2 linked regions of the Saccharomyces cerevisiae S288C genome follow. The gene in region 2 interacts genetically with the main gene of each other region. Each region holds a gene or a part of one and is shown on either strand. Other genes may lie near its edges.

Region 1 (5,087 bases), 1.3 Mb from region 2:
CAAGAGGTTGATATAGCTAAGTGGGCATGAAGGTTATGAATTGTAATTGGAGGTGCGGCAAGTGTGCAAGACGGGTAAAGGAGAGTATAGAACGATGTCTGCTAAAGTTCCATCTAACGCCACGTTTAAGAACAAGGAAAAACCTCAAGAGGTTCGCAAAGCCAACATCATCGCTGCACGTTCTGTTGCAGATGCCATCCGTACTTCATTGGGTCCCAAGGGTATGGACAAGATGATTAAGACATCTCGTGGAGAAATCATCATCTCTAATGATGGCCACACCATTCTAAAACAGATGGCCATTCTGCATCCGGTGGCCAGAATGCTAGTAGAGGTTTCTGCCGCGCAGGACTCGGAAGCCGGTGATGGTACCACTTCTGTGGTGATCTTGACCGGAGCTCTATTGGGTGCTGCTGAGAGGCTGTTAAACAAGGGCATCCATCCAACCATCATTGCGGACTCCTTTCAAAGTGCTGCGAAGAGATCTGTCGATATTCTTTTAGAAATGTGCCATAAGGTTTCGTTGAGCGATAGAGAACAGCTGGTTCGTGCTGCATCCACTTCTTTGAGTTCCAAGATTGTGTCTCAATACTCTTCGTTTTTGGCGCCCTTGGCAGTGGACTCCGTATTGAAGATATCTGATGAAAACTCTAAGAATGTTGACCTGAACGATATCAGACTGGTCAAAAAAGTTGGTGGTACCATTGATGACACAGAAATGATAGATGGTGTGGTCTTGACACAAACGGCAATCAAATCTGCTGGTGGTCCGACAAGAAAGGAAAAAGCAAAGATTGGGTTAATTCAATTCCAAATATCTCCTCCAAAGCCCGACACAGAAAATAATATCATCGTTAATGACTATAGACAAATGGATAAGATCCTTAAAGAAGAAAGAGCGTATTTGCTAAATATCTGTAAAAAAATTAAAAAGGCCAAGTGTAACGTGCTGTTGATTCAGAAATCCATCTTGAGAGATGCGGTAAATGATTTGGCTCTTCATTTCTTGTCAAAATTGAACATAATGGTGGTAAAGGATATCGAGAGAGAAGAAATCGAGTTTCTGTCGAAGGGCTTGGGTTGTAAGCCAATTGCTGATATAGAATTGTTCACCGAAGATAGATTGGGTTCCGCTGATTTAGTTGAGGAGATCGATAGCGATGGTTCCAAGATAGTTAGAGTAACTGGTATAAGAAACAATAATGCAAGACCAACCGTCTCTGTTGTTATTCGTGGTGCAAACAACATGATCATTGATGAAACAGAGCGTTCCCTCCATGATGCACTATGTGTTATTCGTTGTCTAGTGAAAGAGAGAGGTTTAATCGCTGGTGGTGGTGCTCCAGAAATTGAAATATCCCGTAGGTTGAGTAAGGAAGCAAGGTCTATGGAAGGTGTACAGGCTTTTATTTGGCAAGAATTTGCCTCTGCTTTGGAAGTTATTCCAACGACTTTGGCTGAAAACGCAGGTTTGAATAGTATCAAAGTTGTCACAGAATTGCGCTCTAAGCATGAAAATGGTGAATTGAATGACGGTATCTCTGTTAGACGATCTGGTACTACGAACACCTATGAAGAACACATCTTACAACCCGTACTTGTTAGTACAAGTGCAATTACCTTAGCGTCTGAATGTGTTAAATCCATCTTACGTATTGATGATATTGCATTCAGCCGTTAACATGGGTTTCCCAGTATCCATATGTTTATGCATATATACATATATATGTTGATTTAGTGTATTTTCCACTACATAAAAACTAAAAAACATTCAAAATGAAAAGTCAGGACCCTTTTCAAAAAGGATCGCAATTATACTATTTTAAAAGTTTAAAAGCGTTTCTCTTTAATGCGTAGGATACTCCGCTCATTATTGTGGTCGTGGCGGTTACATACCCTAAATAGCTAAAGGCCTTTTGAAAGTCCTGTTTTCTATCTTCGAAATCCTCCTCGGTTTTTTCACAGCCCTCTTCTTTCTCATATAAAAGTAATAATACTCCAGATCCAAGATATACCATTTGGAAAAACGTGTTCCATTTTGATAGTTGGGAAGGTCTGACCTCAGCGCTGGGATAGCGAACAATATCCCAATAGGAATTCCATGCCACACGACCAGGATATTTCAACTTTAAAGTGCTATATCGTATAAACAAAGCACTTATGGCTAGTAGCACATCTCTACCCAGAATTATCGCCGCAATAGATACCGGTATAATCTGAGGGCCGGATGGTACAGATAATGCCAAAGTTGTTGTGATCATGAGTAGTTTATCTGCAAGTGGATCTAATATGGTTCCTGCAATGGTTTTCAGGCCGTATTTTCTTGCTATATACCCATCCATAAAATCAGTGATGCTGGAAAATGCAAACAAACCTAATGCTGGGGTCAAATTATTCGTTATAATGAAGAGTCCGATAAAGGGTGTACATCCTATTCGTGATAAAGTCAAAATGTTGGGAATATTGAGCAACTTGCTCTTTATATGAGGAGTTTTACTCGGATTGGTAGCATATTCCCTCCTAGTGAGATCTCTGAAAAGATTGTAATTTAATTGCGGGTTTACCTTAAAGCGTACAGTTAACCCTGATAACACATGATAGAATGGCCTTTTCGGTATAGTTCTCCGAAGTAATGCGGAGCATGAATAAATGGGCACCATTTGAATCATTGACTAAATTATTAGGGACCAAACTATGCTACCAGGCCTGCTTGTTTCTCAATTGCCTCCTTTCTATATTTTTTCAATTGTAAATATTGTATACTCCCGATTAAGAGGATGGCTTCATGAATCGAGCTTTTTCACACTCCAGTTTCGGAAATAGTCGCCGCACAATGATTCGAAGACATGACTGTGAAGTGTTGGTTGACATTTAATATGGTTTCATGTAAGAGATCCCAGAGCTACGGACTTGGCTTTTTCTTCCTGTAATTGTTTGCCAAACGTTGGGTAAACGCACATATAAGTATATTTTACTTTCCTTCTCCCTTCGTCAGTTTTTCTTTTGCTGTAATATATTGTTCTCAAAAGTTGTTTGGTATACAAAAGTGCAAGGTTTTTACTGGTTGTTACAGGTTCAGAGTTCCAATAAAGAAGATATTAGAACGATCTTATCAATATTATCCAATTTCAACTAATATGAATGTATTAGTCTATAATGGCCCAGGGACTACGCCAGGATCAGTTAAGCATGCTGTTGAAAGTTTACGTGACTTTTTGGAACCCTATTACGCCGTCAGTACTGTCAATGTTAAGGTATTACAGACAGAACCATGGATGTCAAAGACCTCCGCTGTAGTTTTTCCTGGTGGTGCCGATCTTCCTTACGTTCAAGCTTGTCAACCCATTATTTCTCGATTGAAACATTTTGTTAGCAAACAAGGTGGTGTCTTTATCGGATTTTGTGCAGGAGGTTACTTTGGCACCAGCCGTGTAGAATTTGCTCAAGGTGACCCTACAATGGAAGTATCAGGAAGCAGGGATTTGCGATTCTTTCCGGGAACAAGCAGAGGACCTGCGTACAATGGATTTCAGTATAACAGCGAGGCCGGTGCACGTGCAGTTAAATTGAATCTTCCAGATGGCTCACAGTTCTCAACTTATTTCAATGGAGGAGCCGTTTTTGTTGATGCAGATAAATTTGATAATGTCGAGATCTTGGCCACGTACGCAGAACACCCGGATGTGCCTTCTTCTGACTCAGGAAAAGGTCAAAGTGAAAACCCAGCTGCTGTAGTGCTATGTACGGTCGGAAGAGGAAAGGTTTTACTCACTGGACCACACCCTGAATTCAACGTCCGTTTTATGAGGAAATCCACAGATAAGCATTTTCTTGAAACCGTTGTGGAAAACCTGAAAGCACAGGAAATCATGAGGTTGAAATTTATGAGAACGGTTCTTACCAAAACTGGGTTGAATTGTAATAATGACTTCAATTATGTAAGAGCTCCAAATTTGACACCACTGTTTATGGCTAGTGCACCTAATAAGCGGAATTACTTGCAAGAAATGGAAAACAACTTAGCTCATCATGGAATGCATGCAAATAATGTTGAACTCTGCTCAGAATTAAACGCCGAAACTGACTCTTTCCAATTTTATAGAGGCTATAGAGCCTCTTACGATGCAGCAAGTTCGTCCTTGCTTCATAAAGAGCCAGATGAGGTTCCTAAGACCGTAATATTTCCTGGCGTAGATGAAGATATTCCACCATTTCAATATACGCCCAATTTTGACATGAAAGAATACTTCAAGTATCTGAATGTTCAAAACACCATAGGTTCTTTACTTCTATATGGTGAAGTTGTTACATCAACGAGTACCATATTGAATAATAATAAATCCTTATTAAGTTCGATCCCTGAAAGCACTTTACTTCACGTGGGTACTATTCAGGTTTCTGGGCGTGGGAGAGGTGGTAACACTTGGATTAATCCTAAAGGTGTTTGCGCATCAACGGCCGTCGTAACAATGCCGCTTCAATCGCCTGTGACTAATCGAAATATATCAGTTGTTTTTGTCCAGTATCTTTCTATGCTTGCTTACTGTAAGGCGATACTTTCGTACGCTCCTGGATTTTCAGATATTCCTGTTAGGATCAAATGGCCCAATGACCTTTATGCTTTGAGCCCCACCTACTATAAGCGTAAAAACTTGAAATTGGTTAACACCGGTTTTGAGCATACAAAGTTGCCCTTAGGTGATATCGAGCCCGCTTATCTTAAGATCTCTGGTTTATTAGTTAATACCCACTTCATAAACAATAAATATTGTTTGCTACTTGGCTGTGGTATAAATTTGACTAGTGATGGTCCTACAACTTCATTACAAACTTGGATTGATATCCTGAATGAAGAACGCCAACAATTACACCTTGATTTATTGCCAGCAATAAAGGCAGAAAAGCTGCAGGCACTCTATATGAATAACCTTGAGGTCATATTAAAACAGTTTATTAACTACGGAGCTGCGGAAATATTGCCAAGTTATTATGAGTTGTGGTTACATAGTAACCAAATAGTAACATTACCAGATCACGGAAATACGCAAGCCATGATTACTGGTATCACGGAAGACTACGGTTTACTG
Region 2 (11,733 bases):
TCCCGTCTTCATTCACCATGAACAACAAGCTCATATATCGTTCGGTTAGATTTGCAACCCATAACAGCCAGCTTTTACTTCCACCTTTGGTTCTCTACAGAAGGATACTAAGGCAGCATAAGCTGCTACCTGGTCCCCAAAGGGAGATGGGTGACCAATACGTGCGAAACGAGTTCAAGTTGCACAAAGATATCGATAACCCGTTGCATATAGTCGGCTTTTTAGCTTCCTGGCAAGATTATCTCCACATGATTTCCAACGGTAAATGGAAAGATGCCACTTTATCTTCGGAAACCCTGGAGAAACTATCCCCTGAGCAAACAGTTCAACTGTATGAATTGATGAAGGAAACACAGAAACTTCACCAAGACAATGAAATAGAATCAAGTAAGGACGTGAAGCGGAACAACAAGGATTAGTGTTCGTCTTTTTATTGCGCTTGTAAATAAGAAATCCATATACTATATAGTACACATGCTAAAAAAAAAAAGCTAAAAATCTCACTTATTTGCAGTGGTCTCCCTCTCCTGCCATATAACCCCACTGGTATTTTCCAATGCCTTATTGTTGGAAACCTGATCTTTATACCATTCCTGCACTTTCACAGGGTCATTGCCGTGGATAATACAAAACTTGAATTTGGACACCTGCTTGTCACATGATGTAAAATCTCCATATCTGTAATAGCTTCTAAATTGCCCTCCAATCGAATAGCAACTCGTCAGTTGATCAAATGCCTCTCGGCAACTCATCGTTGTCGGATATTTTGTACTCATCCTTTCCTGTTTCTTCCTCAAGCTGCTCTCTTTTACCCTAATAGAACCATCGCCTCCCTCTTGATTTATGCTAATACCACATCCAATAGCAGAACTATTACTAAGATCCGATATTTCGGCCCCCTTCGCAAAGGGGCCCGCCGCACTTTCTTCATGAATTTTCATATAAAAAGTCCCAGGACGCCAAGAAAAGGTGCCCTCTTGATTAACGGACACTCCAACTACTGTTATATATTGTTTCATGGAGACCAATTTTTCCTTCGACTCGAATTTAATTGTTATTATCATTATCACGTTGTTTGCCACAAGAATTATTGCTAAAAGATTTTTATCTACTCCAAAAATGGTATCCCAGGAAACAGTTGCTCACGTAAAGGATCTGATTGGCCAAAAGGAAGTGTTTGTTGCAGCAAAGACATACTGCCCTTACTGTAAAGCTACTTTGTCTACCCTCTTCCAAGAATTGAACGTTCCCAAATCCAAGGCCCTTGTGTTGGAATTAGATGAAATGAGCAATGGCTCAGAGATTCAAGACGCTTTAGAAGAAATCTCGGGCCAAAAAACTGTACCTAACGTATACATCAATGGCAAGCACATTGGTGGTAACAGCGATTTGGAAACTTTGAAGAAAAATGGCAAGTTAGCTGAAATATTGAAGCCGGTATTTCAATAGTTTAAATTACGCTAATATCCCCTTCATAATATTTACATATATATATCTTTTATTATCTATATCTTAAATCACATATACCTACAAAACTTCTAGCTAGATTCACACAAGAGTACTTTTGAAGGCTGCGCGTGCATTTTGAAACCAATGAGACCCGCTAAATTCCGTCTGAGGTACAAGATCCCTCGGCTTCTTTCTTCCCTTATCATCAACTTTCGGTTTGCTATTATTGGCATTCATCACACTTAGCACGTACGACATTGGCAAAATTTTGGGTTCGTCCGCCTCACGCTTAAACCATTCTCTTATCCTATATCCCATTGTTTCTAAATCATCTGCCCCAATTTGCTTTCTAAAGTTATAATCTCCTAACTTCAGCATCAGGAGCAACGTGTAATATGCATCATTGCCTGCGTTATGTAAGAAGGCATGTGGCAAGTGAAAAAGCCTTAGTAGTTTACCTAAACTGCTACCCTTCTTGCCATAACACATGCTATAAATTTTCTCTGTGTCAAGCATCTTAACATGTTTTCTAACACCTTTGCTCTCCGTTGAGTCCTCCGGTTTGGTAAGTTCATTATCCAATTCAGGTACATGGACCCCAATTTTCTTCAGCCACTTAATATCCCCCGCTATAGCATGACCCACAAACGCTCTTTCCCAGGTTGTATCTTGGTCCGTCTCACATTTCATATAGAAATTAATCAACGACTGAATGAACTCTACACATTGTTCCAATGGTAATACAAGACTTTCTCCAAGTAAAAAGCAGTCTTTAAAGTCGCATACGAATTTCTTGTTTCTTAACGGTAACGCTTCAGCAACAATTAAATGATAACTTCTTATAATCGGCATCAAGGAATAAATGTTTTCTCTTGGATCATATATGGCGATGCCAATCTCTGTAACAATGTCTGTATCAAATTCAAATGCCTCTACATCGATGGCAAAACAAATTGTCTTGTTGGATGATAATAACTCAATAGTTTTACAGAGATACTTGAACTGAGACCCACCAGGTTCACAATTCATCACAGGTATATGTTCGTTTTTTACGTCCTGTACATCTGCTAAATATTGCTTTCTTAGATTTTTCTCCACATCGTCTTTAGATGCATCAGGTATACACCCGTTTTTCTCTATCCATTTCTTGTCAATTTCTTCCAGCTTCTTATCCAGTAATTCTGAACTTTTCTCATAGATGGACCGATAGTTTGTTTCCAATGCCTTTAAATATTTTTGGATTTCACTACTTAACGCAATGTTAGGGGTATATGCAATTTCGTGCAGAGAATTAAAATGTTCAAACTCATTTATCCATGTCTTTTGTCTTCCTAGTTTATTCATCAACTTGCTACTTGAACTCTTATACAGTCCCACGCCCCCTCTTCTTGAAGGGACCATACCCCTAACTCTAGCTGCATTGCGGGTTGCCAGACTCCTGTTTAAACCTTGTGGTTGATGGTAATTGCGGACTGCTTTGGAGTTGAATCTATGCGTAACCATTTTGACTACCGCTTCGTATGCTTTCTTGCACTTTGTGGAGCTACTCATACAATAGCTTATAATCTGTGTAGTCAAACTATATACTAGGCAAATTACTAGTAAATGCAGTATTCATATGTCCTCAAACCGTTTTTTGCAGTATGTTATTGATCCATCGAATCAAAATTTTTCACCGCCAAGAGAAAAAAGATCTTACTATTTTGTGCTTATGAAAAAATTAGTAAAAGTAAAGCTGGAAGCACATACAAGCGCAGCTGAATCACAAAGGAAAATTGGCACATCCTTGGTTGACACTTGTCTATTTATTAAAAGGTTTTAAAAAGTAGTGTTCAGCAGTTCTATCATATTTTTTTATTTAAAAAAAAATACTGAGAGGAAGCGTATTGTTAAGACACAATTTAGGGTGGCGTTAAATAAACGAGAGAGCCCAAAAATATAACCAAGATAAAGAAAATCAATCATAAAGTGAATTCAAAAATGTCATCGCAAAACCTCAATGATAATCCAAAAAATACATCCTCAGCAGCTGAAGATAAGAAGAAACAAACTTCATCCTTAAAGTTGGCACCAATACCAACCACATCGCCATGGAAATCATCTTCGCCAGATAGCAATACAGTAATTCCTGTAGAGGAACTAAGAGATATATCAAAGACTGCAAAGCCAAGTAAAAATGGTTCGGGGTCAATTAAATTAACAAGCAATACCAAATGGACTCCAATTACGCCGTCTGTTATAATCTCAGGTTCCAAGGACACAAATTCAAAGTCAGGAAAGAACTCTAAAAATTCTAAGACTAATAAAAAAATGAAAAAGCGTGGCAAATATAATAACGATATCAATAAAAAGGACTTTAACGGTCAAACCAACAGTACATCGGAAATAAGTAACGTTTCCAATCTTGAATCCAAACCTTTAGATGCTAACGCTAAAGTAAACATACATTCAAGCTCAGGAGCAACTGCCAATGGGAATATAAAGAGGATAACAAACAACAACAATTCAACCAACGGTAGACAATCAAGAAATTATCAAAACAGGAATGGCAAAACAAGATACAACAACAATAGTAGACACAGTCAGGCGGCTAATAATGCCATCTCCTTCCCAAATAATTATCAGGCTAGACCTGAATATATTCCCAATGCCAGCCACTGGTTGAACAACAATTCAAGAAATAGCTATAAACAACTGTCATACTTCCGTCAACAGCAGTATTATAATAACATCAACTATCAACAACAATTGCAAACACCATATTATTACTCAATGGAACCTATTTTTAAATCTATCGAAAGTATCAAAAACCAAATTGAATTCTATTTTAGTGAAGAGAACTTGAAAACAGATGAATTTTTAAGATCTAAATTCAAAAAAGCCAATGACGGATTTATCCCCATGAGTTTGATAGGGAAATTTTACCGTATGGTTAATTTATCTCTTGGTGGAGACCCAAATTTAATTTTGGCATCTATGAGAGAAGTTTTACAACATAAAGAAACAAACCATTTGGAAATTGCCCTTGGAAGCATAGAAGGTGCTCAGAAGAACATGGCAGATGATTTCAATCCATTGGAAAACTATTTTATTAGGCGCGAAAATTGGGCTGAATACGCTATGGAAAGTAATTTTGATGAAAATGATGACGAAACTGAAAAATACAACATTGAGAAACTATTGGGACCGAACGATTTAGACAATTATTCTTATATGGGCTATCCAAACTTCTTTCCCAGTAATGAAAATGGGAAAAAGAGTCAGAGCTATGACCAAGGTGAAATTAGCAGGCAGTTTGAACAAAACTTACAAATAAATGATTAATTTTAGACAATATTTTTTTTTTTTTTTTTATTATGTATATAGTTAACATGTATAAAGTAATAGCAGATTCTCTCTAAAAATATAACATAACATTTCATTTCAATTCGTACTAAATAATTTTTTATATAACAGATACATAAGATATTTATATAGAGGAAAACGAAAACAAACTAAAAATAAGCTGTTAAGAACAGATATGTTTTATGCCACCAGAGCACACAAAGCTGCGCCAACACCGGACCCATCTTTGGCTAGACGCAAATGTATCTTACGTTCACCCTCAGTGCCAATTGGACTTAATGCCAAAGCATGTCTCAGCATGGATCTGAATCCAGGATAGTATTCGATGACATAACCGTCAAAACCAATTTCTACCTCACCGTGATATCTTTTGTTCAAAGCGTTTGTCTTGATTAGGATGGCGGCAATCGGAACGGCTGCTAGATATGCAGACCTTCTCGTAATGGAACGGACCAGATTTTGAATTGCTTTACGTTCTTCAAAAGTGGTCGGTAGCCTCAAACTCTGCAAAAACGACAATTCAGTTTCACGCAAGTTTGTCGAATCATCGATTTCAATCCTGGAAAGAACTTCACTGCACAATTGGAAAGGAGTCTTTAAACGGTGAGGTAATTGATCGTAATTACGATACTGTCCCAAGATTAAGCCCCTTGCATGCAAGTCCACCAGGATGTTCCTTAACAGCTCACCCAAGTACATGCCGGAAATTCTTTTTTCAAATAGATGGTAACCTGGATTTGGAGAAAATTTTTGGTCAATATCGATGTCATACTTTGTAGCAGACAAATGTTTCAATTCATTGTCGAAAGAACCCCATTCGATGTTGATGCACATTTGGGTTTTTCCTTCATGCAGCAGTCTTGTTCTGAGCTCATCTGGTAGCTTCTTGATGTTTTCAATATCCTCCATATAGCAACCGTTAGTACCAGTACCAAAGATACAACCAATGACAGGCTCGCTAATCTCACCAGCACTCGATGGACGAGAGCCTGAAGTGTAGCAGTGGGATAGGAAAGTGCCAACCGTGTCGTTGGTCAAAGCTACCACATTAATCATAGAGAGCCCCTGAATGTCTAATTGCTCCTGGTATAACCTCACGACATCCTTGCCGACCGTGTCTTCAATCTTGAAGCTTTTGGTCCATCTGATTAAAGTACCGGAACTCAAAGAGGTTTGGTCAACGGGATATGAGAAGGTAAATCCCATTTTCAAAGGTTTTATGTTCTCCCCCGTGGACTTCAACAACTCAGGATGATGCTTCCTAACGAAGGCCCTTGTACGGCGACCCAGGTAGCTAAACAGCTCCTCGCTGGTGACATCCTTGTCATTTAGATATTCTTCCGGAATCTTAGACTTCAATTGCTGCATATCAAAGGTTCCGTCACCATTCAAAGTCACAGAACACACTCTGAAGTGAGTCCCACCTAAATCTGCAGCCAGCAAAACACCACGTTCCGTCCCATTGGGCAAACTGGTTACATATGTAGGGATCATGGGTAGACCCTTGTCCACCGTCTTTTCTTCGCCTACAGAGGTGTTATTCAACCCCTTTTCCATACATTCAATGAAGTACGCTGTTAGTTCGTCCAACTTTGCTGCATCAACCTGCAATGAGGAGCAGATCTCAACCACTGCATCTTCCAATGCCTCAGCATTGACTTTATGTAAATTTTCAAATGACATTACTGTGTATCTATGATTCGATTCTTGTACAATTCTTCCTTGATACACTGATATCTGTTTCTATTTAAACTTCCTATAAGTATGAGACGTACAAAAGAACACGAGACAAGATGAGATTTTACACTTACACAGAATCGACTTTATATAATCCCGAATACATGTTTCCCCCCCCTGCATCGCAAGCATAATAGAATTCGACGACCCGATCTTCTTCCTCTGTCTTCCACACACACAAACACTAATTCACTCTCACTCTCTCACTTTCCCTTTCGACGACACACACAAAAAGACTTTCTGGATGCCCCGCGTTTTTTGTCACTTGATTCTTCGAACAAAGACGCAGGCAACTACCCCTGAAGGGCCCACCCGAAAGTAGTTGCTACTGCTCGTTGCGGTGGCTGCCAGAGTGGCGACGTAGCGTTGCGTTGTGGCTAACATTGGTGAGACAACCCGATTAAATTACTTAATGGGCTCTCCCACCGCCTTTGCACCCAGTGACAGCCATTTTGAAGATAGCATCGGGCTGGCTTCCAAATAAAATCTAGGTCGTTTCTATTAAGTTCGTTTCGTTATTTTTCTGTCTTCGCGGCGGACACGCAAGCCGACGACGACGAGGTTTAGTTGCATTTTGGCTATCATAAAAGAAATGGGCTTGTCGCAACGGGATCAGGACCAAGAACAGGGGTGCTGAGACTACTACTGTAACTGCGACCGACACAGCGTGCGAAACTAGGGAAGTAAAAAGGTATAGGAAGAAGAACTATGTTTAGAATAGCTAAAAACCTCGTACGGACTTTTGAGCAGAGCGTGCAAGATACCCTGGCACTCTCGCAGGACTCGAGCAATCTGGACGCTTTCTTTCAGTCTATACCACCAAATTTGTTGTCTGCTCAGTTGGAATCACCCGTAGATGCGGTTTCTGAAGGTGTTAAGCACACCAACGTCAATGAAACGCTTTCCGGTCTCCGCATTGTTTGGGTGGACGAGATGCAGTTCCAACTGCAGTCCTTTTTCGACTATATAGTAGGTTTCAATGATGATCCGGTGCCGGTGGTCAGTAATCAACACGGATTTTCGTACCCAGATTACCGTCGTATCACATCCATCTTCAATGAACACTGTGGCCGAACTTTGAAGGTCAACATATGGTCAGCTAAAGGAGGCACGTTCAGAGACGAGTATATCAGCATTATATCGAAGGAGAGCGACGATTTGGACGATGTTTCTCTAAACCATGACGAGAGGAGGCCATCTAGTGGGGAAGCGCACCAGTTCCAAGCACTCGGGTTCAAAGTCCAATGGACGCCTTTGATAGCTTCCACTTTCACATACCATATCCTGAACGTGAACATCCCAGATGGACCCGCCCAATCGGCAGGGCTCATCCCAGATGAAGACTACATTATCGGCTGCCAAGATGGCCTGTTGGCCACGGGAGGGGAGACGCTTTTACAAGATATTGTTAGATCAAGAGCAAACTACGATCTGGTCCTTTATGTCTACAACAAAGTTTCTGACTGTGTGAGACCAATCACAGTTCATATAGGTCCCGACGGCAGGTTGGGTTGCAACGTTGGATACGGGTTTCTTCACAGGATTCCAACAGTAAAGCACTGTCCACAACAAGCACAGCAGCAGGGGCAAGATGACAACCCTGTTCCTGTTCCTGTTCCAGTAGAATCTGAGACGGCTTTTGTGCCATCAGCATTCACAGCACCACCGGTGCCAACAAAGAAGAAATCAAAAAATAAAAAGGGTACCCAGCCATTGGCAATGGATGACTATTTTAATGAAGGCAGAGATAAGTCATCTACCGCTGCGAAGTCAGCAGAATCTGACATCCTCGCCCCACCACCACAAAAACAGTCATCCTCTGATTAACTTTCCTGGTTAGTCTTTTGGTTTTGTTTCATAGCAAAATTAAATATATATATATAAGCTTGCTTTCCCTTCAAAACACGTAAACGATAGTTGGCAATGTACGAAAAGTACCGAGACTTTTTTTCAAAGGCACGCGTGTCCTTTTTTGTTAAGACAATAGATATTTTAGCATTCAGAAAGTTTCAATTTCCAAGACTTGACGTTTCAATTATATGGCAATCTCCCAACAAGCACCCGCTCATATAATACCATGCAAGTGACCACAAGATTTATATCTGCGATAGTCTCGTTTTGCCTGTTTGCTTCTTTCACGTTGGCTGAAAACAGCGCAAGAGCTACGCCGGGATCAGATTTACTCGTTCTAACAGAGAAGAAATTTAAATCATTCATCGAATCTCATCCGTTAGTCCTCGTCGAGTTTTTTGCTCCATGGTGTTTGCATTCTCAGATCTTACGCCCTCACTTAGAAGAGGCCGCCTCTATTTTAAAGGAGCATAACGTCCCAGTTGTTCAAATTGATTGTGAGGCTAACAGTATGGTTTGCCTGCAACAAACTATAAATACCTACCCAACCTTGAAAATCTTTAAAAATGGTCGTATTTTTGATGGTCAAGTCTATCGCGGTGTCAAGATCACCGATGAAATCACTCAGTACATGATTCAGCTATACGAGGCTTCTGTCATTTATTTAAATTCCGAAGATGAAATCCAACCATACTTGGAAAATGCAACTTTACCAGTAGTAATAAACAGAGGCTTGACAGGCTTGAATGAAACGTATCAAGAAGTCGCACTGGACCTTGCTGAGGATTACGTCTTTTTATCCCTTCTAGATTCAGAAGATAAGTCATTATCAATCCACTTGCCAAACACTACAGAACCAATTCTGTTTGATGGAAATGTAGACTCTTTGGTCGGAAATTCCGTTGCTCTAACTCAGTGGTTAAAAGTGGTAATTTTACCTTACTTTACCGACATCGAACCTGATCTCTTCCCCAAGTACATTTCTAGCAATTTGCCGTTGGCTTACTTCTTTTATACTTCTGAGGAAGAATTGGAAGATTACACTGATCTTTTCACGCAGTTAGGTAAGGAAAATCGTGGCCAAATAAATTTCATTGCATTAAACTCTACAATGTTCCCACACCACGTTAGATTCCTAAATATGAGAGAACAGTTCCCATTATTTGCTATCCATAATATGATCAATAATCTGAAATATGGTTTACCACAACTACCAGAAGAAGAGTACGCGAAATTAGAAAAACCACAACCACTAGACAGAGATATGATCGTTCAGTTGGTAAAAGATTACCGTGAAGGTACTGCCAAGCCAATTGTTAAGTCAGAAGAGATTCCAAAAGAACAAAAGTCCAATGTTTATAAAATAGTTGGGAAGACACATGACGACATTGTTCATGATGATGACAAGGATGTCCTTGTCAAATATTACGCGACATGGTGTATTCATAGTAAAAGGTTTGCGCCTATTTACGAAGAAATTGCAAATGTCTTAGCATCTGATGAATCTGTTCGCGATAAAATCTTGATCGCCGAAGTAGATTCAGGGGCAAATGATATCTTAAGTTTTCCTGTGACAGGATATCCAACCATTGCTTTGTATCCTGCCGGAAATAACTCTAAGCCTATTATCTTCAATAAAATTAGAAATTTGGAAGATGTTTTCGAATTTATCAAGGAATCAGGTACACATCACATTGACGGCCAGGCAATTTATGATAAATTGCACCAGGCCAAGGATTCTGAAGTGTCTACTGAAGATACCGTACATGATGAATTATAATCAATAAATAAAGCATATATAATGCACATTTTTAACATCTGATTACTCGCATCGTTTCTGGAAGAAAATAGCTAATATTCGTTATTTATGGCATCACGATTATTCTCACCAGTTACCCGTTTATGCTCTTGAAGAGATTTAGCATTACTGCCAGCGCATCTTCAAATACAGGTTTATATGAGACCCATTACTATAACCCTAAGAAGAGAAAAAGGAGTGCTTTCGTTTTCAATCACATTCTAGTTTACAGTAATTGAGTCTCGATGATGTTTAATATTTACCTTTTCGTCACTTTTTTTTCCACCATTCTTGCAGGTTCCCTGTCAGATTTGGAAATCGGTATTATCAAGAGAATACCGGTAGAAGATTGCTTAATTAAGGCAATGCCAGGTGATAAAGTTAAGGTTCATTATACAGGATCTTTATTAGAATCGGGAACTGTATTTGACTCAAGTTATTCAAGAGGCTCTCCTATCGCTTTTGAACTTGGCGTTGGCAGAGTAATTAAAGGTTGGGATCAAGGTGTTGCCGGCATGTGCGTTGGCGAAAAAAGAAAGCTGCAAATTCCAAGTTCTTTGGCCTACGGAGAAAGAGGTGTCCCAGGCGTCATTCCTCCAAGTGCTGATTTGGTGTTTGATGTCGAATTGGTAGACGTGAAATCAGCCGCCTAGGTAAATTGGCACTCAGGCACATATCTGCAACAAGATGCATGGAGTACGTATGTGGCAAACTTTTTTTTATAGTTGAAAATATATCCATATGAGGATGCCAGCCATCATGTCAAGTTTCAATGTAATTATGGTTGTGTATATTATGTTTGCAGCAAAATAAAATAAAAGGGCTCTAACTACAATATATTAATATAAAGAAATGTTATTCAATCTAGTTTGGGTATGAATTTTTTCCCTCTTAATAAAAATAGTTTAAGTAGTTTGTTCAGTCTTCTTATCGCTGGTAAACATTTTTTGGGAATTTGGTTTTAAACTATCAAAAAAATCCTGAAAAAAGTCTTCAAAGGAATTGAATTGGTCGACGTCAGGAATCATGAAGTGACTACTGGACAAGTTCTCGTGCAAAGTACCAACATTAGTAGGCGAAGTAGCGGGTTTCGCGGCGTGCAGATTTCCTGCTCCTGTGTAGTTATTAGCATTAGTCGACATTTTATCATTATCACTATTCTCTTTTGACAAACTGCCAAAATTAATACGAGTCTTACTAGTATCAATTATAGATTTTATGATTTTTCCAACGTTATCAGTAGCCTCATTCATTTTTTCCCCTATAGTGCTCAAATGCCAGTACACTTTTGTACAAAGACTCAAAACGCGTTGACGTTCAGAAGAATCGAACCAATAAAGATAGTCACAAAGAGTTAAACAGGCGTAGACTAGTTGATGACAAGTAAAAATCGGAGCACCCCTTATTAACGTTGGCGGTAGTCTCAAAAACCCATTCAACAGCGAAAATGAATGTTCTTTCATCGTATTAAGAATTAGTTTCAAAAACCTTTGGTTGCTTTTTAGCGTGGAAGAAAATTCTGTGATAAAAGTGCGACATATCATGATATGATA

Evidence for each region. A genetic interaction does not mean that the proteins touch.
Region 1: mutations in EMI1 (region 2) and CRD1 together harm fitness more than expected from each alone (negative genetic interaction), as found in Saccharomyces cerevisiae (3 studies listed by BioGRID).

The regions. Positions count from the first base shown.
Region 1 is NC_001136.10:199,902-204,988, forward strand, and holds CRD1 (cardiolipin synthase), read right to left. Parts: upstream 2,670-5,087; coding exon 1,818-2,669; downstream 1-1,817. Other genes in the region: chaperonin-containing T-complex subunit CCT4, read left to right, coding at 95-1,681; biotin--[acetyl-CoA-carboxylase] ligase BPL1, read left to right, coding at 3,138-5,087. UniProt on the Saccharomyces cerevisiae protein: Catalyzes the synthesis of cardiolipin (CL) (diphosphatidylglycerol) by specifically transferring a phosphatidyl group from CDP-diacylglycerol to phosphatidylglycerol (PG).
Region 2 is NC_001136.10:1,470,000-1,481,732, forward strand, and holds EMI1 (Emi1p), read right to left. Parts: upstream 1,065-11,733; coding exon 501-1,064; downstream 1-500. Other genes in the region: SDH7 (Sdh7p), read left to right, coding at 18-419; dithiol glutaredoxin GRX2, read left to right, coding at 1,018-1,449; YDR514C (uncharacterized protein), read right to left, coding at 1,549-3,000; SLF1 (Slf1p), read left to right, coding at 3,430-4,773; EMI2 (putative glucokinase), read right to left, coding at 4,975-6,477; GRH1 (Grh1p), read left to right, coding at 7,240-8,358; protein disulfide isomerase EUG1, read left to right, coding at 8,609-10,162; peptidylprolyl isomerase family protein FPR2, read left to right, coding at 10,426-10,833; URC2 (Urc2p), read right to left, coding at 11,086-11,733. UniProt on the Saccharomyces cerevisiae protein: Involved in sporulation. Required for the full activation of the early meiotic inducer IME1.